2 linked regions of the Oryctolagus cuniculus genome follow. The protein of the gene in region 1 purifies or fractionates together with the protein of each later gene. This does not show direct contact. Links are inferred from orthologs where the notes say so. Each region holds a gene or a part of one and is shown on either strand. Other genes may lie near its edges.

What was found.
Region 2: the proteins of RETREG3 (region 1) and REEP4 purify together in Homo sapiens (affinity purification with mass spectrometry; 3 studies listed by BioGRID and IntAct, with this or other methods). This does not show direct contact. The link is inferred for Oryctolagus cuniculus from reciprocal best matches to the Homo sapiens genes RETREG3 and REEP4.

Annotation. Positions count from the first base shown.
Region 1 is NC_091448.1:20,269,631-20,280,717, reverse strand, and holds the start of RETREG3 (reticulophagy regulator 3), read right to left. Parts: upstream 5,153-11,087; 5' UTR 5,034-5,152; coding exon 4,795-5,033; intron 1-4,794. Other genes in the region: tubulin gamma-1 chain, read left to right, coding at 5,393-5,441, 5,717-5,829, 6,032-6,199, 7,613-7,681, 7,926-8,005, 8,343-8,469, 9,839-9,925, 10,042-10,191 and 2 more. UniProt on the Homo sapiens protein: Endoplasmic reticulum (ER)-anchored autophagy regulator which exists in an inactive state under basal conditions but is activated following cellular stress.
Region 2 is NC_091439.1:1,162,861-1,174,286, forward strand, and holds REEP4 (receptor expression-enhancing protein 4), read left to right. Parts: upstream 1-5,525; 5' UTR 5,526-5,745; coding exon 5,746-5,777; intron 5,778-6,532; coding exon 6,533-6,605; intron 6,606-7,035; coding exon 7,036-7,112; intron 7,113-7,197; coding exon 7,198-7,318; intron 7,319-7,404; coding exon 7,405-7,518; intron 7,519-7,787; coding exon 7,788-7,929; intron 7,930-8,038; coding exon 8,039-8,193; intron 8,194-8,286; coding exon 8,287-8,352; 3' UTR 8,353-8,694; downstream 8,695-11,426. UniProt on the Homo sapiens protein: Microtubule-binding protein required to ensure proper cell division and nuclear envelope reassembly by sequestering the endoplasmic reticulum away from chromosomes during mitosis.

The sequences.
Region 1 (11,087 bases):
AGAAGAGATGGCCAAATGCCTGTTTTCAAGCAAAGCAAAGAAGATGGCATTTCTTGGTCCCTTTGTTAGGGCAGAGCGAGTGTCTCAGTGGCACTTCAGAACAAAGCTTCCCAGCCTACAGGGACAGTCGGCCCATTATTGTACTGCACTTGTCACTGCCTGCTTAATGAACCAGTCACTGGTGATTTAGCAGCAAAGAATTAACCCAGCCTACATCACGTAATGATAGTTGCTGCTCGCACAAAACCAGAAATGAAACCACCTCGCTGCTCCTGCCCCGCGGGATGCTAATGAAGAGAAAGCAGCACCCTTGCAACGAGGACAGCCGACCTGCGCAAACTAAACCGAGGCCGCCTAGGGAGGCCCCCGCTGCCCAGGGCAACAGAAGCCCTCCAAACCCACCATCAGGGACACCTGCTCAGCTGTGTCCATCCACAATTCCACGAGTAACTGTTTCTTCCCACAGAAATCACACTTAAGTGGCCCTAATCGTCCATTTCCTCTTCCCCACTTCTGTTTTTCATCCAAATTCTAACCTTTTAAAACACAATTTTTGTATACCCTTAATCATTCAAGTCAGTTTTTTAGAGGGAAGAGGGCCCCCCTTTTTTTTCATTTGTGGAAACAACAGATTGCCCGCCAGTCCCCAGAAGCACAGCACAGCACAGCACAGCAGGGCCCAGCCTGCAGACTGCTGTCAGGATCCCCAGTTCACAGCCCACCCAGGATCACAGGAAGGAAAGGAGCTGGTGGTCGCCCAGCCCTGCCGGAGCGGAAGGGGAGCAGGGGGCCTGGAACTCATGCTCCTGTCCAGCGCTCGTCTGCCCTCCCCTGACAGCCAGGAGTATGACCCAACACCCAAGACTTAGTTGAACCTGTTCTTTCCTGATCCTGCCAGGACGCACGCTGGCTGTGGAGTTCTTCCCCCAGGTCTCTCAGTTACAGCTGGGGTGGAGGCTAATGAAAATGCAAGCGATCAGTCCAGAGCCAAGAACAGAGGCTGAGTGACCAGAAGTAACCCAGGCGGGAAGATTTCTGATAATTTACCATACCGTACTTGCTCTGCAACCAGAGAGATAGAAAGAACGAAACGAAAGCACTGAAACACTCCAGCTGCTGGGACCTGAGCCGATCTCTAGCTCTGACGGTTTTGTTTTTAAGATGGAAGGGGGCACAGACACAGGTACAGGAAGCCATGACAGGGAACACGGAGCACTGAGAGGTAAGAGATACCCACCTGAATCTGACTCCTATCCAATCTTCTAATGTTTCAAAAATGCCTAAAACACCCCAGTAAATGATGTGCCATTACTCACAACAGATAATGAAAGAACCGTGAAGCATTTCAGATTTGATTTTTCTAGTCCAAGTTGATGCTCCTCCCTTTCCTAAACATTTAAAATGCCTGAGAGGGGCCAGCGTTGAGGAGTTCCAGGTAATGCTGCTGCCTGCTGTGCTGGCATCCCATATGGGCACCAGTTCGAGTCCTGGCTACTCCACTTCCGATCCAGCTCTCTGCTCTGGCCTGGGAAAGCAGTGGAAGATGGCCCAAGTGCTTGGGCCCTGCACCCACACAGGAGACCCTGAAGAAGCTCCTGGCTCCTGGTTTCGGATCAGCGCAGCTCCGGCCGTTGTGGCCATTTGGGGAGTAAACCAGCAAATGGAAGACCTCTCTCTCTCTCTCTCTCTCTCTCTCCCTCCCTCCCTCCCTCCCTCCCTCCCTCTCGGCCTCTGCCTCTGCCTCTGTAACTGCCTTTCAAATAAATAAATCAAACTAAAAACCAAAACAAACAAACAAAAAACCCACAACTCTTGTTTCTCCCTCAAGTCACGCCCTCACTTCGCCATATCTCCCCACCTTCCTGGGGTGTGATGGGAATGTAGCCAGTATGGTGTTCGGGATACCCAGCTGCAAGGCCAATGATAAAGACCGATGCCAGCAATGCTTTAAGAGTCAGGAGGACAAAAAGGGGCTCTGGGTGAGAGTCTAAACAGCACTGTAAGCTTGAGGACATCCTACCCACGGCCAGCAAACTAAAGGTCAAGGGGTGGCCCAGGCAGAGCAGTTACCTGCAGGCAAACCTCCACCTCACGTCTGCTTCAGAAACCTCTCAGGAAAGGCATGTGTGAAGCCCCCACCTCAGAAACAACATCTATGCCAACAACTGCTTATTTGCATTAATCAAGTTTTGGTTTAAAATTCATTTAAATCAGAGGCAAGCATTAGGCCCAGAGGTTAAGACGCTGCTTGGGACGCCTGATCCCATATCAGACAACCTGGGTTTGCATCCCAGCTCAGCTCCCAATTCCACCTTCCTGCTAATGCACACTCTGGACTCAAGTCCCCTGACATCCATGTGGAAGGCCTGGGTTAAGTTCTGGGTTCCTGGCTTTGGTCTGGCCCAGTTCCTGGCCCACTGCAGGCAATTGGGGAGTGAACCAGAGGTTGGAAGATCCCTCTGCCTTTCAAATAAAAATAAATAAAAATTTAAAACTCAGGGCCCGCATTGTGGTGTAGCAGGTAACACTGCTGCCTGCAATGCTGGCATCCCATGTGGCTGCTAGTTGGAGTCCCAGCTGCTCCACTTCCAATCCAGCTGCCTGCTTGTGTTCCTGGGAAAGCAGTGGAAGATGGCCCAAGTGCTTAGGCCCCTGCAACCACACAGAAGACTCAAAAGAAGCTCCTGGCTCCTTGCTTCGGACCAGCCCAGCTCCAGCCATTGCAGCCACTTGGGAAGTGAACCAGCAGATGCAAGATCTCTGTCTCTCCCTCTCTATAACTCTGCCTGTCAAGTAAACAAATAAATACATTTTTTTTGACAGAGTTATAGACAGTGAGAGAAAGAGACAGACAAAAAGGTCTTCCTTCCATTGGTTCACCCCCAAATGGCCGCTACAGCTGGCGCTGCGCCTATCCAAAGCCAGGAGCCAGGTGCTCCCTCCCGGTCTCCCACGAGGGTGTAGGCACCCAAGCACCTGGGCTATCCTCCACTGCCTTCCCGGGCCACAGCAGAGAGCTGGACTGGAAGAGGAGCAGCTGGGACTAGAACCCGGTGCCCATATGGGATGCCGATGCTGCAGACGGAGGATTAACCAACTGAGCCACGGTGCCGGCCCCCAAATAAATACATTTTTTAAAAAAGATTTAAAACTTATTTAAGGGGCTGCCGTGTGCTGTAGCAGGTTAAGCCACCACCTGCCACACAGCACCCCATATGCGCACTGGTTCAACTCCCAGCTGCTGGGCTTCTGATCTAGCCCCCTTGCTAACGCACCTGGGGAAAACAGCAGATAATGGCCCAAGTGCTTGGGCCCCTGCGTCCATGTAGGAGACCCAGATAGAGTTCCTGGCTCCTGGTTTTAGCCTAGCCCAGCCTGGCCCAGCCTGGCCATTGCCGTCATTTGAGTGAACCACCGAATGGAAGATCTCTGTTTCTGTCTCTCTCTCTCCTTCCCTGTAATCCTGCCTTTCAAATAAATAAATCTTAAAAAAAAAAAAAAAAAAAACTCATTTAAATCCTCATGAAGATTTTTTTTTCCCATCAGCCAGTCATACTGACACAAATTCGTTTTATGAGAACTAACGTTCTCCCGAGAGGTATCAAACGCCCGGAATGAGGAGCTAGACATCGAGGGGAAGGAAGTGGGTCCCTCGTGTGGGGGAGGGGAGGTCAAAGAAGCATCACCAAAACACAGTGACTACCGTAGAAGAAAGTTTGTCATCCAGCTTGCTAAGGGCCCTGGAGGCAACAAATCTGCGAGAGACAGCTCTGACACCTTTAACTTGGGGCTCTTGCAGACTGGGAGAGGATTCGCTTCGAAGCTGAACACTGCCTTCCCCGCCAACGAACGTGGAATTATTTGCTCTCCAGCTCACACGCTTTAACTCGAAAATCGAGAATTCCACTGGAAAGCTAGCTTTAAAAACACACACTTTGTTTCAGGCTTGTCCCAAATGGTTTTCATTCAGTTGTCCATGCCAGTTCCCCTGGAGTTGGATCCGTAATACCTCCTTAGTTATTATTAAGTTCAAATTATGCTCGGTACAGCCTATGAACACACAAGTCCCCTGCAGGTGACCAGAGAGGAGTTGTTCGGAGAGCAGGACGCAGCGGTGCCAGTGTCGGCTCTGGTAACGCGCACACACCATCAGCTACCCTCCACCTGCTCGCTTACAAATGCTGGCTGAGGACGCCTCCCTCCCGCGTCCCCCCCACAATCACCAGCTCATCGGTGTCTCTGTTTTGTTTAAAGCTCTGGAGGTTCACACCGAGACGCGGGTTTCACCAACTTCCAGAAGTGGGCGAGCAAACCTCGAACATGCTAATTCACGCGAAGCGCTCCAGCCTGTTTGCTCCCCACACCTCCATCCGGCGCCCGTGCAAGACCTGCCTCCACTCCCGACAGGAACGACTGTGTCCGGGGCCGGTCTGCGCGGCGCCCCTGAGCAGACGGGGAAGGGGAGGCGATGGTCTCAGAGGACCACAGCGCTCCCGAGCTAGGAAGGCGCCCTCGCACAGAGCGAGCGGCTCGAGAGCGTCCCCGCAGCTGCTGCCGGGTGTGCGGGCCGAGGGCGCGGGTGCGGGTCAAGCAGGGGAGACAGCTGGAAGGGCCCCCGGGGGGAACCGGGGCGCCCAAGCCTGGAGGCGGGATGCAGTGGAAGGGGGCGAGGTAGAGAGGCAAGTGCAGAAGGGGCCAGTGCAGCGAGGACAACAGGGCAGGCAAGAGGCAGCGCCCTACGGAAACCTGACGGATTCGCGCCTCGGGGAGTTCCCGAGGGTCCAGTTCTCTCACCAGAAAGCCGCGTTCAGCCCCAGGCACCACAGGGCGCTCCTGGCCGGCCGCTCCCACACCAGGGCTGCCTGCACTCGGCTCAGGAGAGGCTCGTAGGGCCCCAGCACCTCCACCAGGGCCCGTTGCACCGCCTCCACCTGCTGGTCCCGCTCCCAGGAGCCTGACATAGCGCGGCGGCCCCGGAGAGCCGGCCCAGAAGATGGGCCCGGGGCCGCGGCCACCCCCTCTGGCTCCGCCATCTCCCCCCCGGCAGCCACAGCATCCGGGGCCGCGGCCCGACAGTCACAATAACACCGACTGCGCAGACGCGCGCCTTGGCGGCGGAGGCAGGCCTCCGGACCCGCGCGCTTGCGCACAGGCGCCAGCCCGCGCCCGCCGGGAGGCGGGGAGGACGCAGCGTCAGAGCGCGCCGAGCCCGGGCCGGAGCGGCGCACGCGCAGTCTGCTCGGCTGAAGCCAAACGAATAAGGAAGTTCTCATTGGAGCGCAGAAAGTTCGCGGGTGGAGCGGGTGTGCAGCGCCTGCGTCCTGCGGCGAGCGGGCGGACTAGCGGCGGCGTTGCTGGCGGGAGCGGCTGCAACGCCGGTGCCTGAGGAGCGATGCCGAGGGAGATCATCACCTTACAGTTGGGCCAGTGCGGCAATCAGAGTGAGCGACCCTCCGGCCCGTCCGCTCGCCGGGTTGCTGAGGTTCCGTGGGATCCGCCGCCCTTCCCAGAATCGTAATTCTGCGAAAGGCGGGACGTCCCTGACCCAGGGTCCGGTTGCCCTACCCCGAGGGGCCCTCCTTGCCCGGTCGCGAACGTGCAGCCCTTTTCCCCACACACGGGCGAGTCCTCACGCTGACCCCTGTTCCCAGGCGCTCGGTCCCCCAGCTGGCAATCGGAACCTGCCCAGACCCACATATCCTGTTTCTTCCCCCAGTTGGGTTCGAGTTCTGGAAACAGCTGTGCGCCGAGCATGGTATCAGCCCCGAGGGCATCGTGGAGGAGTTCGCCACCGAGGGCACGGACCGCAAGGACGTCTTTTTCTACCAGGTGCCCCCGGCGGCTGGGCCAGGACCCCGGGGGCCTGAAGGGACGGGGCAGGGGCTGGTGCTGGGGAGCCCGCTGGGCACAGGGCCCCGCGGCTGGCTCGGGGAGGGAGGCCCGGCAGGAGCCCGAGTGGGACTGGACTGGGGCCTGGGCCGGCGGTGGCGCCGGCTGACGGGGCCGCCCCTTCCCGGCCTCTCGCTGGCAGGCCGATGATGAGCACTACATCCCGCGGGCCGTGCTGCTGGACCTGGAGCCCCGGGTGATCCACTCCATCCTCAACTCTCCCTACGCCAAGCTCTACAACCCGGAGAACATCTACCTGGCTGAGCACGGAGGAGGAGCTGGCAACAACTGGGCCAGTGGATTCTCCCAGGTCATTTGCTATTCCCTGGCACCACCTACAGCTCCCTACGTGGGGAGAAGCCCTGTGACTTCCCAGAGAGATGGAGAAAGACCAGGGATGTGTGAGCGCTGGAGGGAGAGAGACACAGGCTATGGGGTTAAACGTGTGACACAGGTATCATGAGGAGCAGCCGTAGTCCTACCTGCCAGGCTCTTCCAAGCGCTTTCCATGTGCTTGGTTATGTAAAGCTCCCAGCACCTCCAGAGATGGGCACTACAGGCCCACAGCATGTGATCTGCCTTTCCGGAATCCAGAAAACTCAGAAAGTGCAGGTTTATAACTCACTTAGCAGCAAAAAACATACCTCAGTGGAAACAGGCTATTTTATAGGGTTTTTAAAAAATGTATTTGGGCCGGCGCCACAGCTCAATAGGCTAATCCTTCCCCTGCGGTGCCGGCACCCCATCCGGGTCCCAGTCGGGGCACCGGATTCTGTCCCGGTTGCCCGTCTTCCAGGCCAGCTCTCTGCTGTGGCCCGAGAAGGCAGTGGAGGATGGCCCAGGTCCTTGGGCCCTGCACCCGCATGGGAGACCAGGAGAGGCACCTGGCTCCTGGCTTCGGATCAGTGCGGTGCACCAGCTGCAGCGTGCCAGCCACAGCGGCCATTGGAGGGTGAACCAACGGTAAAGGAAGACCTTTCTCTCTCTCTCCCTCTCTCTCTCACTGTCCACTCTGCCTGTCAAAAAAAAAAAAAAATGTATTTGAAAAGCAGAGTATCATTGAGAGATGGGTAGAGAGAGATCTTCCATCCACTGATTCATTCCCCAAATTGCCCCAACAGCCATAGCTGGGCCAGACGGAAGCTAGGAGCCAGTAGTGGGAGGGAGATACCAAGATCTTTCCTGTGGTTCACTCCCCAGATGGTCACAAACAGCCAGGGCTGGTCCAGGCTGAAGCTAAGAGCCAGGAACTCCACCCTGGTCTCCCGCGTGGTGTCAAGGGCCCAACTGCTTGGGCCCTCATCTGCTTTCCCAGGCACATTAGGAGGAAGCTGGATGGGAAGCAGAGCAGCTGAGACTGCGGGATGCTGGGTCGCAGGCAGAGGCTTGGCCCACAGCACCACAACGCTGGCCCCAGTTCCAAAGACTGTAGATAAGGGCCTGTGGGCCTGTGTTACTCCTTCCATTGTATAGGTCCAGAAAAGGGCAGAGTAACCTGCCCGGAGTCACTTAGCTGCATGGGACAAGAGGTAACGTGTGAACCCAGGTAATCAGAGTGGAGGACTTGTGACCTCCGTGCTGTGTAGCCTCTCGAGGCAGGTAAAAAGGCAGCTGCGCTCCCGAAACAGACTCGGTGGTACCGGAGGGGAACTGAGGATGGCTGCTGTGTGAGCGGTGTTGTCCCTCAGTCCTGTGCACGCTGACCCTCCCCGTGTCTGCACAGGGAGAGAAGATCCACGAGGACATCTTTGACATCATAGACCGGGAGGCGGATGGCAGTGACAGTCTGGAGGTGAGTGTCGCAGGAGAGCCGGTGGGAAGGCTCGGTAGCACCCTGACGAGCCCCTGTTGGGCACAAGACCCACGTGTGTGCCCTCTGCACTGGACAGAAGCCACGGGCCTTCCCGAAGACAAGGCAGAGTCCCCCAAGCTGTAAGGGCACTGGAAGGAAAGGGAGGGCTTGAGAAGATAGGAATCCAAGAAATGATGGGATGGATCAAGTTTGAAATCCTGGACTCCGCCCCTTCTTCACGCAGGGCTTCGTGCTGTGTCACTCCATCGCTGGGGGGACAGGCTCTGGCCTGGGCTCCTACCTCTTGGAACGGCTGAATGACAGGTAGGAGCCCGAGAGGCCCTGCGGGGAAGCCTCCCCGTCCGCTGCAGCGGGCAGAGCCTTGCTGTGTTTAGTGAGGAGAGTGGAGCCACTGTTGAGAACCCAACTGCACTCCCAGCAGTGGGTAGAATCTGGGCCCTGGCCGAAGGTCCAGAGGGTGTGGCCAGGTTGGGAGTTGGAACCCTAGGCACCAGGGTGTCTCTCTGCCCTTCCTCCTTTCGGGCTGCAGGGTTTCAATGTCAAGTCTCCCTTCTCTGTGTCTCGGGACCCCATCTGCTTCCCTGTGGACCAGTAGCGGCGTCGATCTGTTGCGTGGATACTCTGTTCCTGCCCCCCTCAGGTACCCCAAGAAGCTGGTGCAGACCTACTCGGTGTTTCCCAACCAGGACGAGATGAGCGACGTGGTGGTCCAGCCCTACAACTCGCTCCTCACACTTAAGCGGCTGACTCAGAATGCGGACTGCGTGGTGAGTCCTGGTGTCTACTTGTCCCCACTCCCAACCCCTGTCCATTTAATCACTTTCGTGTATTTAAAATGTCTGTTATGTCTCATCAAAGTGGCATGTACCAATGCCATCTCACTAGTCAAAGTGATCAGTTTCAGTTCATAATTGATCATAATGATAGGATTAAGTGTCTAGGGGTCACATAAATAAGACTAGTGTCTGCTAATACTAACTGATAGAATTAAAAAGGAGAGAATGATCCAACATGGGAAGCGGGATACACAGCAGACTCATAGAATGGCAGATGTCCTCAACAGCACTCTGACCTCAGAATCAGCCCTTAAGGCATTCAGATCTGGCTAAAAAGCCCATGAGAGTGTTTCAGGCATAGAAAGCCAAGACACTCTGGCAAAAAAAAAAAAACCTAAATGAAAGATCTCTGTGAGTGAGATCCCAGCAGAAAGAACAGGCCATCAAAGAAGGAGGTACCTTTCTCTGAAGGGAGGAGAGAACGTCCACTTTGACTATGGCCTTGTCTAAATAAGATAGGAGTTGGCGAACTCAAGAGGCTTCCATAGCCTTGGCAACTCATGACAAGAGCCTCGGGTGATTACTGATGCCATAAACAAGAGTGTCAATTGTTAATTCAATAACAGGAGTCACTGTGCACTTACTCCCCATGTAGGATCTCTGTCCTTAATGTGTTGTACTATGTGAGTTAACTGTATAACTAGTACTCAAACAGTACTTTATACTTTCTGTTTCTATGTGGGGGCAAACTGTTGAAATCTTTACTTAATATATATAAATTGATCGTCTGTATATAAAGATAATTGAAAATGAATCTTGATGAAGAATGGGATGAGAGAGGGAGTGGGAGATGGGATGGTTGTGGGTGGGAGGGTGGTTATGAGGGGGAAAGCTGCTATAACCCAAACATTGTACTTTGGAAATTTATATTTATTAAATAAAAGTTAAAAAAAAGTCTGTTTTGAGGTGGTTGGGCATTCAGCCTGCTGGTTAGATGCTTGTGTCCCACACCGGAGCTCCTAGGGTCAGTGCCCGGCTCCAGCTCCAGCTCCTGCTGATGCAGACCCTGAGAGGCAGCCGTGACGGCTCAGGTAGTTTAGGTTCTTGCCCCCACGCAGCGTTGGCCTCAGCAGTTGCAGACGGAAGCTCTCTGCTCTCTGCCTCTCAAGTAAATACTTTATTAGAATGCCCGCTTTGAGCCTTTCTGTGCCTTTTTAGTGTGCATTTCTGACCATGTGTGCAAGATCCTTTTTGATGGGCCTTTCTGGAAATGAAACGCAAGGTCTCAGGGCCCAGGCTCAGGCAGGGCTCCTGATTCTCCCATCCCCATACATCTGCCACCCTCGTCTGTCCCCTCCAGGTGGTGCTGGACAACACAGCCCTGAACCTGATAGCCACGGACCGCCTGCACATCCAGAACCCATCCTTCTCCCAGATCAACCAGCTGGTGAGCCCACCTCTGCACTCCTTCCCACTGGAAGCCCTCCTTGAGGGAGGACTGTCGGGGGAGGGGGGAGGGGTCCTACCCAGGCCAGGCCCATGACACAGCACCCCTGTCCCCAGGTGTCCACCATCATGTCAGCCAGCACCACCACCCTGCGCTACCCCGGCTACATGAACAACGACCTCATCGGCCTCATCGCCTCGCTCATCCCCACGCCCCGGCTCCACTTCCTCATGACCGGCTACACCCCCCTCACCACGGACCAGTCAGTAAGAGCAGCCCTCAGTGTCCCGGGCCAGCTGGCCCTGACCTGGCCTCTCCTCTCCTCGCTGCCCTGGCAGCTGCCCATTGCAGCCCCCAGAGGCCTTGCACTCAGGCACTGGCAGAGCGTGGGACTGTCTCGCTGCCTCGTCTCCACCTTCCCTCTGCCCTGGGCTCCTGCAGGCCCCGTGGCGTGAGGTGCGCTGTTGGCTCCTGCACGAGGACATGTCTGTGAGCTGACGCTGGTCCTGCCTGAGAGGCCACACTGCTCCAAGTCTGCCGGGGTGTGCTGGCTCCTCTGCATCCCTGCCCGGTGCCCCGAGTGCTGGCCTGGCCCCTGTGACCACTGTCCCATCCCTCAGGTGGCCAGCGTGAGGAAGACCACGGTCCTGGACGTCATGCGGCGGCTGCTGCAGCCCAAGAACGTGATGGTGTCCACAGGCCGGGACCGCCAGACCAACCACTGCTACATCGCCATCCTCAACATCATCCAGGGGGAGGTGGACCCCACCCAGGTAGGGGAGGCCCCTTCCTCCTAGCCTGAAGCCTCAGGGGCACAGAGAGGCTGCCACCTCGCACTGTGCCCACCCAGGTCCACAAGAGCCTGCAGAGGATCCGGGAACGGAAGTTGGCCAACTTCATCCCCTGGGGCCCAGCCAGCATCCAGGTGGCCCTGTCGAGGAAGTCTCCCTACCTGCCCTCAGCCCACCGGGTCAGCGGGCTCATGATGGCCAACCACACCAGCATCTCCTCCGTGAGTCCCCTGATGGGCTCCCTGACTGGGCCTCCCCTCGCCGTGTCCCTGCTGGCCCTGCCTCTGGCCTTTGCCACGGGATAGCCAGCCTCGGTGTCCTGGCTCTCCGGGCCGTATTGTTCCTCAGCGTTGTTGTGACCCCTGCTGTCT
Region 2 (11,426 bases), on another chromosome or scaffold:
CAGTCTCGCACTCCTACGCGCGTCCTCCACTCCCATCTCCACGAGTCACTGCGCATTGAGGGGTGTGTGCACATGCGCAGAACTGCCGCTGCCGCCCGGGCTCCCCGCCGCATCACCTTGCCTCTTCCTGCAGGGGGGCCCACGGTGCCCCTCGCTCCTCCTCGCCCACCCCTCAGCGTGCCTCCTCTGCTACTACTCGGGATGGCAAGGGCGGTGCCAGCCCGGCCTCCTGGGAGCAAAGCCCCCTGGCCCAAAGCAATAATAGTAATAGATGTAGCACAGCCCCGCTTCTCCCCAGCTGTGTCTCCCTGTTCTCCCTGGAGGTTCCCCTGACCCTGAGCCCCAGCCCACCGTGGATCCAACTCCATCCAGACGAAGCCTGTTTCTCCTCCTGTCACTGTCGCCTCCTTGGGCTCCGACTACCCCCTGGGACGTGGACCCCTGGGCTGTGGTTACACACACCTGGAAGAGTCAGGGAACCAGCACGCACCTGAGCCACCTGTGCAGGTGCAGGAGGGGAGTATGGCTGGAGAACACCTTGGGGGCCCCAGCTCCCTTCCAGCCCAGAGGCGCACCCGGGGGCACTGCCTCTCCAGGAAGGCTGAGCCTGAGCCGCCTGCCAGGAGCCTGTGGAAGGCGCAGGTGGGAGCCCAGCGTCTGCTGCCCCCTGCTGAGCGCTGGGGCGCACTGCCCTGGGATGAGAGGCGGGAGCAGCAGGGGCACCTCCCTCCCTGGTGCCCAGATTGTGTGGGGCTCCGTGTGCAAGGGTATCCCGGGCCACTTGGGGGGGGGGCAATGCTGTGACTCACCTGCTTCAAATAAAAAGCTCCACCCCCTTCCTGGCTCTCAGGTGTCATCAAGGTGTCTCGTTAAGGACGGAGCAGGGTGGCTGCACAGAAGGGGCCGTATGACTTCCAGACCCTCCTACTCCTCCTGGCCCCTTTCCCTCGGGGGGAGCAGTGGGTAGCCCCAAGGCTGGCTGGCGCTCGGGTCAGGAGTTCATGGTGATGACACTCGGGTGCTGAGCCAGGGTGACTCGTCTTCACCACCTAGGGCTGACTCACTGCCCCCCCAACCCCGTGATCCTGGGGACTGCCCCATTACCTGAGTCTGTCCATCAGCGGGGCCAAGACCAACCCAGCGGTCCCACCTGTCACCCCCGCCCCCACCTCTGCAGGCTGCCCAGCTGGGGCAGCTTCACAGGTCCTGTCCCCATTCTCCCTCTCCATTCTGCATCCCAACGCTATTTCCACATGGGTGCTGTTCTCTGTCCCTTCTCTGCCACAAGCTTTGTCCAAACCCTCCCTCGCCACTCATTGTCTCAGGCCTCCTTGGATGTCATCCCGCCAACCTGCTTCTCACGCCCTTCTCGTGTGGCTGTAAAACATCTTTCCATTACACCACCCCCAGCCCAGGAACCCGCCTCCGCACCCTTGTTCTGCAACAAGTCCACGCCCCTCTGCCCAGCATTAATGTCCCACTGTATGCGTCCAGGGCCCCTTACCATCTCCAACGACGATGGAGGTTAAGACAGCTGGGGATAAAAGGGGAGGGAGGGAGGAGTCAGATGCGGGCTGTCATGGGAATCCAGCCTACGAGCCATCTTTTCATGGGAAATACATATGAGAAAACTGTGCATGCATTTCACATTTTGCATGCATCCAAATAGATGTATCATTTAATTCCATTTTCCCACAAACATTTTCTAAGATCTGCGTGTGAGTAGCGGAGGTCTTGGGAAAAGCACACAGGCATTGTCTGGCAAAACAGGGGCATTGTTGCACGGTCCCTCCCTCTCCACCCAAGGACTTGAGCACGTGGAAAGCTGAGCCAGTGACAGGATGGGGAAATGATAACCCCTCAGGCAGGGGTGCCCCGCTGGGTGACCTGGGGCAGGTCACTTTCCCTCTCTGGGCCCCCAGGGACCCTTTCCATTTTCAGGTGTCATTTGCCATGTGGCAAGCACCTGTGAGCAGTGCTGCACAGGGGAAGGAGACTCGAGGTGACAGCCCGGGGGTCACTCTGTTCACATGCTGTGCAGTGGCTGTCACGCTGCGCTCTGGGGTCTAGCTTGTGAGCATGTGGACTTAGGCTTGGCCCCTTCACTTCATGTGAGATCTCAAGGCAGGTCAGCCCTTATGCAAAGCAGATAACAAAACCCATTTTCTGGAGTCCTGATTCTACCAGCTCACTAGCTCCTGACACTTAGCCTATGTGGGTCTCAGTTTCTCCACCTACGAGATGGGTATAATCATGGGATCTACTGGACAGCATCATTCATCACGAGATTTAAGGGCGTTGAATATATATCCATATATGGGAGCCCCTTAGAATAGTGTGCCTGGCACGTAATGTGACTCCTATTGGTCCATGGGAAGCTAGGAGGTGCAGAGGCACACAGAGAGGGCAGCTTTGTGGGAGTGGACAGAGGAGTGGCCAGCTGCGGGCAGGGGCTCCTCGTCCCTCCCCAGTCTCAGAGCCTGCGAGCTTTACGTCCTCTCTGGCCTCAGATGCCAGCCAGCCTGCCCCAAACCACTCCTCGTGAGCGGGTGTCTGCTCTGGGTCGCTGCCTCCTTCTACCTCGCTCGTGTGCTCTCGGCTTCGCAGGCACCCCTCAGTCTTCCCATCCTGGGAACGCCTGCACTGTGGCGTAGTGGGCTAAGCCTCTGCCTGCAGACCGGAACCCATACTGGTGCCGGTTCAAATCCCAGCTGCTCCACTTCTGATCCAGCTCTCTGCTATGGCCGGGAAAAGCAGTAGAAGATGGCCCAAGTCCTTAGGCCCCTGCACCCATGTGGGGAACCTGGAAGAAGTTCCTGGCTCCTGGCTTCGGACTGGCCCAGCTCTGGCCATTATAGCCTTCTGGAGAGTGAACTGGCTGATGAAAGACTTCTCTCTCTGTCTCTCCCTCTATTTGTAGCCCTACCTCTCAAATAAAATGAATAAAAAATAAAATCTTAAAAAAGCAGGGTTAACAGGCTCCCGGCCTGTGTGCGAGAGAGGTTGCCAGGGACAGTGGGCTGAGTGTCCCAGACACGGCGGCATGTGTTGTCCCGGGGAGAGAGAAAACCGGGAGCTCCTCCAGTGGCTGGGAGGCTCCATCTCTCCCTTGACCTCTGCACGCCCAGCTTGGGCCTGGCTGCCTTGGTCACCTGCCCTGGAGCTCATCCCTGTGTCCAGAGAGCTGCTTAGCAACCCTGTGGAACCAAGCCACTGTGTCAACAGCTCAAGGGCAAAGGCCACGCCACTGCCCAGGAGGAGGTGACGGTCCCCAGTCCCCTGCAGCCAGCCTCACGCTGTTCCGTGCTGAGCCCCTTAGACTTCTGCGGGCACCAGCAGGGAGAGCGGGGGGCCTTCGTATGAGGCACCGTCGCAGCCGGGAGGGCTCCGGGTGGACACAGGTGAGCTGCCTTCAGCAGAGGGGGTCAGGACAGGCCTGTGATGCTGAGGTCAAGGGCAGGTTCCAGAAGGCAGCCATGCGGGAGAAGGCTCAAGGCTCCTGTGCACAGCCACCCCCAGGTCCTGGAGCTGGTGCCCTTGGCCAGTGACACAGCCTCCCCCCCGCCCAGGACACCTGGAGATGCATGAGGCTGGCACCTTCCCCAGGGGATCCGCCGCCCCCACCTTTCTTGTCCCTCCAGGGCGGGGGCGGGGGTCCCGGGCCGGTTTCACTGCTGGCTCTCACACCCAGCACCACCATAAAATTGATGCTAATAAGTAGGAGCCTGTAATCACGGGTGTTTATCTCTCCCCAAGACGCCTCCTGCCTCCTCCGCAGGGCTCCCATCAGGACTAAGCCATCTTCTGCAAGGATGCTCTCCTAAAAAGTCCCCATAGCCCCGAGGCAGCTCAGAGCAGCTTGGCTCCCACCCTCGCCTCAGCGCACCACGGGGAGCGGGGACAGTGTTCCCCCGGTGTTCAGAGGGAACATGCCGGAGGGCCTGGGGTTCAAGTCCCGGCTCCTCTGCATCCAATCCAGCTCCCTGCTAATGCCCACTCTGGGAGGTGAGCAGGCAGTGGCTCAAGTACTTGGCCCCCCTGCCACCCACGTGGGAGACCAGACTGAGTTCCTGGCTCCTGGTCTCAGTCTGACCTGGCCACGGCTGTAGCAGGCATCCGGGGAGTGAATCTGCAGATGGAAGATATCTCTCCATTTCTCTGGCTTTCAAATACAATGAAAATGATTTTTTAAAAAAACTAAAATACAAAAGTTCATGGAGAATGGAGTCACACGCTAACACAGTGGGCATTTGGCTTGGCTATTAAGATGCCGATTGGGACATCCCAGTCCACACCACAGCACCTGGGCTAGCTCTGCCTCCTGGACGCAGCAGGTGACTGTTCCAGTAACTGGGTTCCTGGCCCACAGGGAGACCTGGGTTGAATTTCCAGGTTGCAGGTGCAGCCCTGGCCATTGTGGGCATTTGAGGAGTGAACCACCAGAGGGCAGCTCTCCTCCTCCGCTGGGTATTTTCCAGGAGCTTTACGAACACCATGCCTACACCTTCCCCCAGGGAATGTTTCGGTCCACGTCCCCCAGCTCTGGGGCTCCCTCAGCCCCTACTGCTGAGCCGTCAGGGCTGGCAGCAGCAATGAACTCCACAGGGTGAACTTTGTACAAACCCCTGTTGCTCACTGGCTGGGGCACCTCCTAATGGAAAGATTTCTTTTAAAAAGATGTGCTGTATTGATTTGAAAAGCAGAGTGACAGAGAGAGGAGAGAATCTTCCATCTGCTGGCTCACTCTCCAAATGGCCAAGCGTGGGGGACGGGGAGCTCGGGCCAGGCTGAAGCCAGGTTCCAGGTCTCCCACGTGGATGCAGGGACCCAAGCGCTTGGGCCATCTCTCGCTGGTGCATTAGCAGGGAGCTGGATTGGAAGCGGCTTCCAAGCGGATTGAATTGAGCAGCCAGGACTCAAAACGGGGCGGGATCGGTGGCTTAACCGGCTTCGCCACATGCCAGGCCTACGCACCCCACAACTGGCGCGCGCGCGCTCCCAGCTACTGCTTACCTCCCAGGGTACTGACTGGGCAGGCCTGGGGGAGAAGGTGTGGGGGAGCTGGGGGCTCACCGCCACTCTCTGGAATCACCAGTCAGCCCGAGGGTGGCAGGAGGGAACCCCCAAATCGCCTTGAGTCCCTCGGCTTCGCCCCTTCCCCTCGGTCAGCCCAGCACCCTGGGGTGGTAATGGACACTCAGAGGAGCCTTCTCCCAGCAGGTGCCCGAGGGTCCCGGGGAGAGCCCCCGCCCTCCTCAGACGCCGATTCCGTCTTATTTTACAGGGGAGGGGAACGAGGCGAGAGGGAAACACGCGGAGAGAAGCCGGCCCGCCACCGCACTTCTTCCCGCCCGACTGCCGGCCGTCCTCGGCGGCTTCCGCCCCCTGCACCTGTCCTCCCAGGCAGGAGTCGCCCCGAGGCGCGCGGCCCCTTTAAGGGGCGGGCCTCGCGCCGGAGCAAGCCCCGCCCCTCGAGGCCGCACTGCGCCTGCGCCGCCCGCCGGCGCGCTGGGGTTGGGCAGCGCCCAGCGCCGAGCAACTTTCAAGTGAGTCGCAGACTCCGCCCCCGCAGGCCGGAGCCGGTGGCCGGTGGCCGGCGCGGTGGGACCGCGGCGACCCGCAGGCGCGCAGGCTGCGACGTGCCGGCCCCGGGCCGGACTCCCCGCCGCCGGCGACCCCGCACCTGCGCTGACCGGCGCGGCCCCCACGTGGGCGTGTTCCCGGGGCGCTGCCCTCCCCTCCAGCATGGTGTCCTGGATGATCTGCCGCCTGGTGGTGTGAGTACGGCCGCCTGAAGACACCCCCCCCCCACCGCGTCCCCAGGCGCCGCCCGGGGTGTGGTGGGCCGGGGGCCTGGTGGTGGGTCGGGGGCCCTGCGCGCCTCCCCCCTGCACCGCGAGGGGAACGGAGCTGCGGGCAGCCCGCGCACGCTCGGCCCCCTCCCCTGCCCTCCTGGGCTGCTGGCGACCCCTCCCCCCCGGCCCTGCAGACAGGTGCGTGGGCCGGGGGCCCTGCGCTCCTCCCCCCTACACCGCGAGGGGAATGGACTTTGGGCCCTCTCCTGGGCTGCTGGCGACCCCTTCCCCCAAGCCCTGCAAGCAGGTGTGTGGGCTGAGGGCTGCAGGCGGGCACTGCCCCTTGGCGAACGCCCGGTGATATGGCACGTTGTGGGCTGGGCGGGGGAAGCCAGGTGCCTGCCTCCCAGGTGAGCGAGTCACGTGACTCAGCCTCCTGGCTCTGTGCTGCCCGTGCATCCCTGGCTGGTGGCCCTGGGCCCGCTCACATGGCCGTGGGAGCCTGTTGGGTGGCTGTGTCCTGGCTCCGTCGTGCACCCATGGGCCACCGGTGCAGGCCCGGGCAGGCCGGGGCTGTTTGTAAACAGCGGGGTGGGGAGGTGGCCTCCAGGACACTGACTCAGGCACCTCGGGTTGTGCAAGCCAAGCGGGAAAAACAGGGCCGGCGCTGGCACCCGGCACCCCCTCCAAGCAGGGCAGGGTGGGGCCCCTCACCCACCCTGTGCCTCTTCTTCCAGGCTGGTGTTTGGGATGCTGTACCCTGCCTATGCGTCCTACAAAGCCGTGAAGACCAAGAACATTCGTGAATATGTGAGTGGGGCAGGGGCTGAGCTGGCTGCCCCTCCTCCGGGGCGGGGGACAATGACCCAAGTGCACCTGCAGAGACCAGGCCCGGCCACATGGCCGTGGTGCAGGGGAGAGGGTGCCACCCACCGCGGGGCTCCCGTGGGCAAGGTGTGTGAAGGCTGAGCTGGTCGCCCCTCCTCCGGGGCGGGGGACAATGACCCAAGTGCACCTGCAGAGACCAGGCCCGGCCACGTGGCCGTGGTGCAGGGGAGAGGGTGCCGCCCACCGCCGGGGCTCCTGTGGGCGAAGCCGGCCAGGGGTGTGTGCAGGGCTGAGCAGCACCGGGGAACGCAGCAGTGCAGCAGGGCGGGCTCTGTGGAATCCAGGCTGGGCCAGACAGGGCCAGGCCTGGCTTGGCCGCTGACCCCCGCCCTGCCTGCCCGCCCACCCGCAGGTCCGCTGGATGATGTACTGGATCGTCTTTGCCATCTTCATGGCGGCCGAGACCTTCACCGACATCTTCGTCTCCTGGTGCGGGCATGGGGTGTTTGCGGGGCAGGGGTGGCCCACAGGCCACGCGCGCCTCCCGGCTCACCTGTGCCCCCGCCCCCACCAGGTTCCCCTTCTACTACGAGATCAAGATGGCCTTTGTGCTGTGGCTGCTGTCGCCCTACACCAGGGGAGCCAGCCTGCTCTACCGCAAGTTTGTCCACCCGTCCCTGTCCCGCCACGAGAAGGTACCCGCCCCCGCCCCGGGGACCCCCTCAGGGTTGGCAGAGGCGGGGGCAGGCGCCTGAACCGCCCTGGTCGCCTGGGTCCACAGGAGATCGACACGTACATTGTGCAGGCCAAGGAGCGCAGCTACGAGACAGTGCTCAGCTTCGGGAAGCGGGGCCTCAACATCGCGGCCTCGGCCGCCGTGCAGGCCGCTGCCAAGGTGCCCTGGGCAGCCCCGCCCCAGCAGGATGTGCATACCCCGCCCCGTGCCCCCCATCCTGAGCAGGACATGCAGTCCCCCCACCCCCGCCCTGAGCAGGATGTGCAGCCCCCCCAACCCCGCCATGCTAAGCAGGAGTGACCTTGACCTAAGGTTGCCAAGTTGCCGCGTGTGGGTGTGCTCACAGGCGCATGCACCAGTGGGTGGTGGACGGTCAGCCCCGGCCGGCTCCGCCCCCTGAGTGCCCTCCCTGGCTCCCGCCCACACAGAGCCAGGGCGCGCTGGCCGGCCGGCTGCGGAGCTTCTCCATGCAGGACCTGCGCAGCATCCCGGACGCCGACGCCCCCGCCCCCGGCTACCAGGACCCCCTCTACCTGGAGGACCAGGTTCCCTGCAGGAGGCCTCCCATCGGTGAGTGGGCAGAGGGACGGCCGAGAGCCGTGGCCTCCCCCATGGCTGGCTGCTGGAAACCCCGCGTCAATGCCCGTCCTGGCCTCCCCTGGGCCTGCTCTCCCTACAGGGTACCGGGCCGGGGGCCTGCAGGACAGCGACACAGACGAGGAATGTTGGTCGGACACGGAGGTCGCCTCCAAGCCGCCTGCCCGGCCCAGAGAGAAGCCGCTGAGCCGCAGCCAGAGCCTGCGGGTGGTGAAGAGGAAGCCGCCCACGCGGGAGGTCGGTGGAGGAGGGTGTGGGGAGGGGGAGGGGGCTCTGCCAGCCCTGCCAGCCCTCCCCTCTCACTGGGTGCCTGCTCTCCCCCACCCCCAGGCCACCTCGCGCTCCCTGAAGGTTCGGACAAGGAAAAAGACGGTGCCCTCTGACATGGACAGCTAGGGTCAGCAGAGGCTGGCCTGCTCTTGCCTTGTGCCCTGCAGGGCACCTGTGCCAGCCACCTGCTGGCTGAGAGCTGCTGGTGCCAGGGGCCCTGCGTCAGGGCACCCACACTGTACCAAAGCGGGCTGGCCCACGATCCTATTTATTGCCTCCCCCTGGGTGTGGGACCAGGACCCTCTCTGACCAAAGCTGCCCCCAGCTGCCTGTGTTCATTCCTTCCGAGTGCTTGACAGCCTTTGTCCCAAGGCCTGGTGTGCGTGGTGAGTCCCGGCTGTGTGGTTTGTGTCGGCGAGTGAGGTCAGGCTTGTGAATGTTTTGTTAAATAAATACAGAAAGACCTTGTGTTTTCTCCCGATGGGTCTCCCACGCCTCACATCACACACACTCAGCTGAGCAGCCTGCGGCTGGCCCGGCACAGCCTGGGGTTTGGAATGCGGGGGACACGGAGCCATGGACAGCGCCACGCGGTGTGCTCCCAGGGAGCACCAGGGACACTTGGGGCGGCTGTCTGAAGGGGAGTCGCAGTCTAAGAAGCCTCCAGTTAGGAGGGGATGGGGACGGGGCCTGACCTGTGGGGGTGTGGGAGTAGGCCCTGCAGGGAGAGGTGGGGAGGGAGGCCGGCAGGTGCCTCCTGGGACGCTGGGTTCTCTTACCCGGAAGGGCAGCAGTGCCTTCTGAGGAGTGGCCACAGGAGGGCAGCAGCTGCCTCGCTCTGTTCTGCCCTCAGCTCCCAGGTCAAGGAGGGCGGTGCTGGGAGACTGGCCAGAGCCCCGCCCTGCCGGGCCTGGCTGCTGGCTGGCTGCAGGAACCATGCAGAATCCGGCGTGGCCTCCATTGGCCCTCCCTGCTGTTTGTGGTCACTGGTCCTCGGCCTGCGCCATCCACAGAGCCTCCCCTGCCCCCCCGGGAGCCAGGCTGCTTGCCTGGGCTGGCTGCGTGCCTGCAAGCTCTGGGGTCAGCCAGCGCTGGCTCTGCCCCCGCCACCCTTGGACTCCGCTGGGCTGCACGCCGTGCCCGGGACTGCTCTTCCTTCCTGCTCTGGGTTAAGCAAAGAAGTGGGGGAGAATGAGAGGAAGGGAGACAAGGTGGCAGCCCGGGGAGGCCCGGGGGAGTACGGATTAACTCCTGGCGTGGGGATTATCCGGGGTTTACTTGGAGGTGGCACCTGACCTGCCGGGCGCTTGGGCTGCTGGCGCACTGGTGCTCGGCCGCGTCCTTCGTGGCCGTGTCTCGGGTCCGCGGGGCTGTCTCCTCATCACGTTCATGTTCTCAGACAATGTTGATCATCATCAAGCATCTGCCAGGCCAGGGACAAGTCAACACTGTAGGGAGGCGGGGACTAGTAATGGCCGCCCCGAGCCCCTGCCCTGGCCAAGGGGCACAGAGGACGCGAGTGATTTGCCTGAGGTGGCACAGCTAGTGAGAGAACGAGGCTTTGAACCAGGCCGTCTGGCTCAAGTCTGCACTTAATCACTGTGCAGGCAGGACCAAAGACAACAAGGTGTTTCTTGCCTGGGAGGCAAAGAGCAGGAGGCTAACGTGTATGGTACATCTGTGAAATCCTCCCAACAAGCCAGGCAGGTTGAGGCCATACCCATTTTACAGATGAAAAACTGAGGCTCGGAGAGAGCTGCAGGAACTTGTCCCCAGTCGCTCGGCCCCCGAGCTCCAGGGACGCCGCCTCCTGCTGGAAGTCAGCCCGGGAGGTGGAATGGCGGAGTCTGCCCAGGGGAATTAAAGGCAGAGCGTGTACTGCCCAGGTCAAGTGCAGCACGCATGCAGGAGAAGGGGGAGTTGGGGTGAGGCCTGGGTGTGGGGCGGGAGGGGGCTTCCTCCTCCCGCATTGCTAGGAAGGCTGTGCAGAGCAGGCAGCGAGGGCTCCTGGCTGGGTTGGTGGTGCCCCCATGTTATCCACCAGGGTCTCAGGGTTCCGGGGCTGGGCCTGCTCTCCCTCCTCCCCGCCCAGCTCTCACACAGACACCGTCTCCCCGCGCCCCCCGGGGAGCCCTCTGCCGTCCCCCTGCGGCCTTGCTTCCAGAGGGCACACCGCCCCCGGTCTGGCAGGGACCTCTTTGCGTCAGGCCTTGTACTCTCTCCCCCACCCCAGGGGTCTTCCTCACCATTCTGTCCCCGCCTGGAATACACGGTCTCCCCAAGGGGTGACTGGTGGGTGATGGCGTGTGAGTAGCTCTGCTCACCCCCTGATTTCTGTGCTGGTCACCGGGTCTGACTCCACAGCGAGACCAGCCTCTTGTTGTTTGCTGGTAGGAGCGACCATGCTGGGTGCCTTGCGCTCTGTGGCCCGCCAGAGCCTGAAAAATGCCCTGGGTTTGGTGAATGGCTGACTGCCGTTGTCCAAGTTCCAGGCCATCCGAGGCCAGAGGGGAAGGAGCGACCACAAGTCCAAGGGCTCCACGGGGCGTTTCTGGCCAAGCGGACATGTGACCCCGAGGCTGGGGTGCCGGGGCTTCCCTCTGAGCCGGTCCGGCCCCCAACTTCTACCCAGCTGTCCCGATGGGGCCCCTGTACTCCGGCTGGGTGGGGGGCTGAGGCCAGCGAGTCCAGCCCCTGCAGAGCCACACACCAGGTCCCCTGCAGCCGCCCCTGCCCACCTGGCCTGCCCTTGGCTCGAGCACCTCCCAGGTGTCTCATCCACCTCCCTGTGCTTCCCGGTCTGGGGCTCCTGGGGTCCTGCCTCTGGCCTCCGGGTCATGGCTCACACTGGCCCGCATGGCTGTATTTTTAGCCACCACTCGCAGCAACCTGATGAGGCCTCTGGTTCCAGCACAGCCTTGGCCGGGCCTGGGCCTGGGCCCCGCTCCTGCCCACCTCCAGGGGGGCCAAGTGACCACTCAGGTCTCTGAGCCCCCTCCCCCCACCCAGCCTCAGGGACTGGGGGTGCCCAACAGTTGGGTAGGGGGCGACACCCGGGGGCAGGGAGGAGGGCTGGCTGCCTCCAGCCAGAGCCAGGGACACCAGGGAGAGTCCCTGGCCTTGGGCAGAAGGGAGAGGGCTTTCTCTCCTGGGTGAGAGGGGAGGGCTCCAGACAGGAATTGGGTCAAGGATGTGGGTAG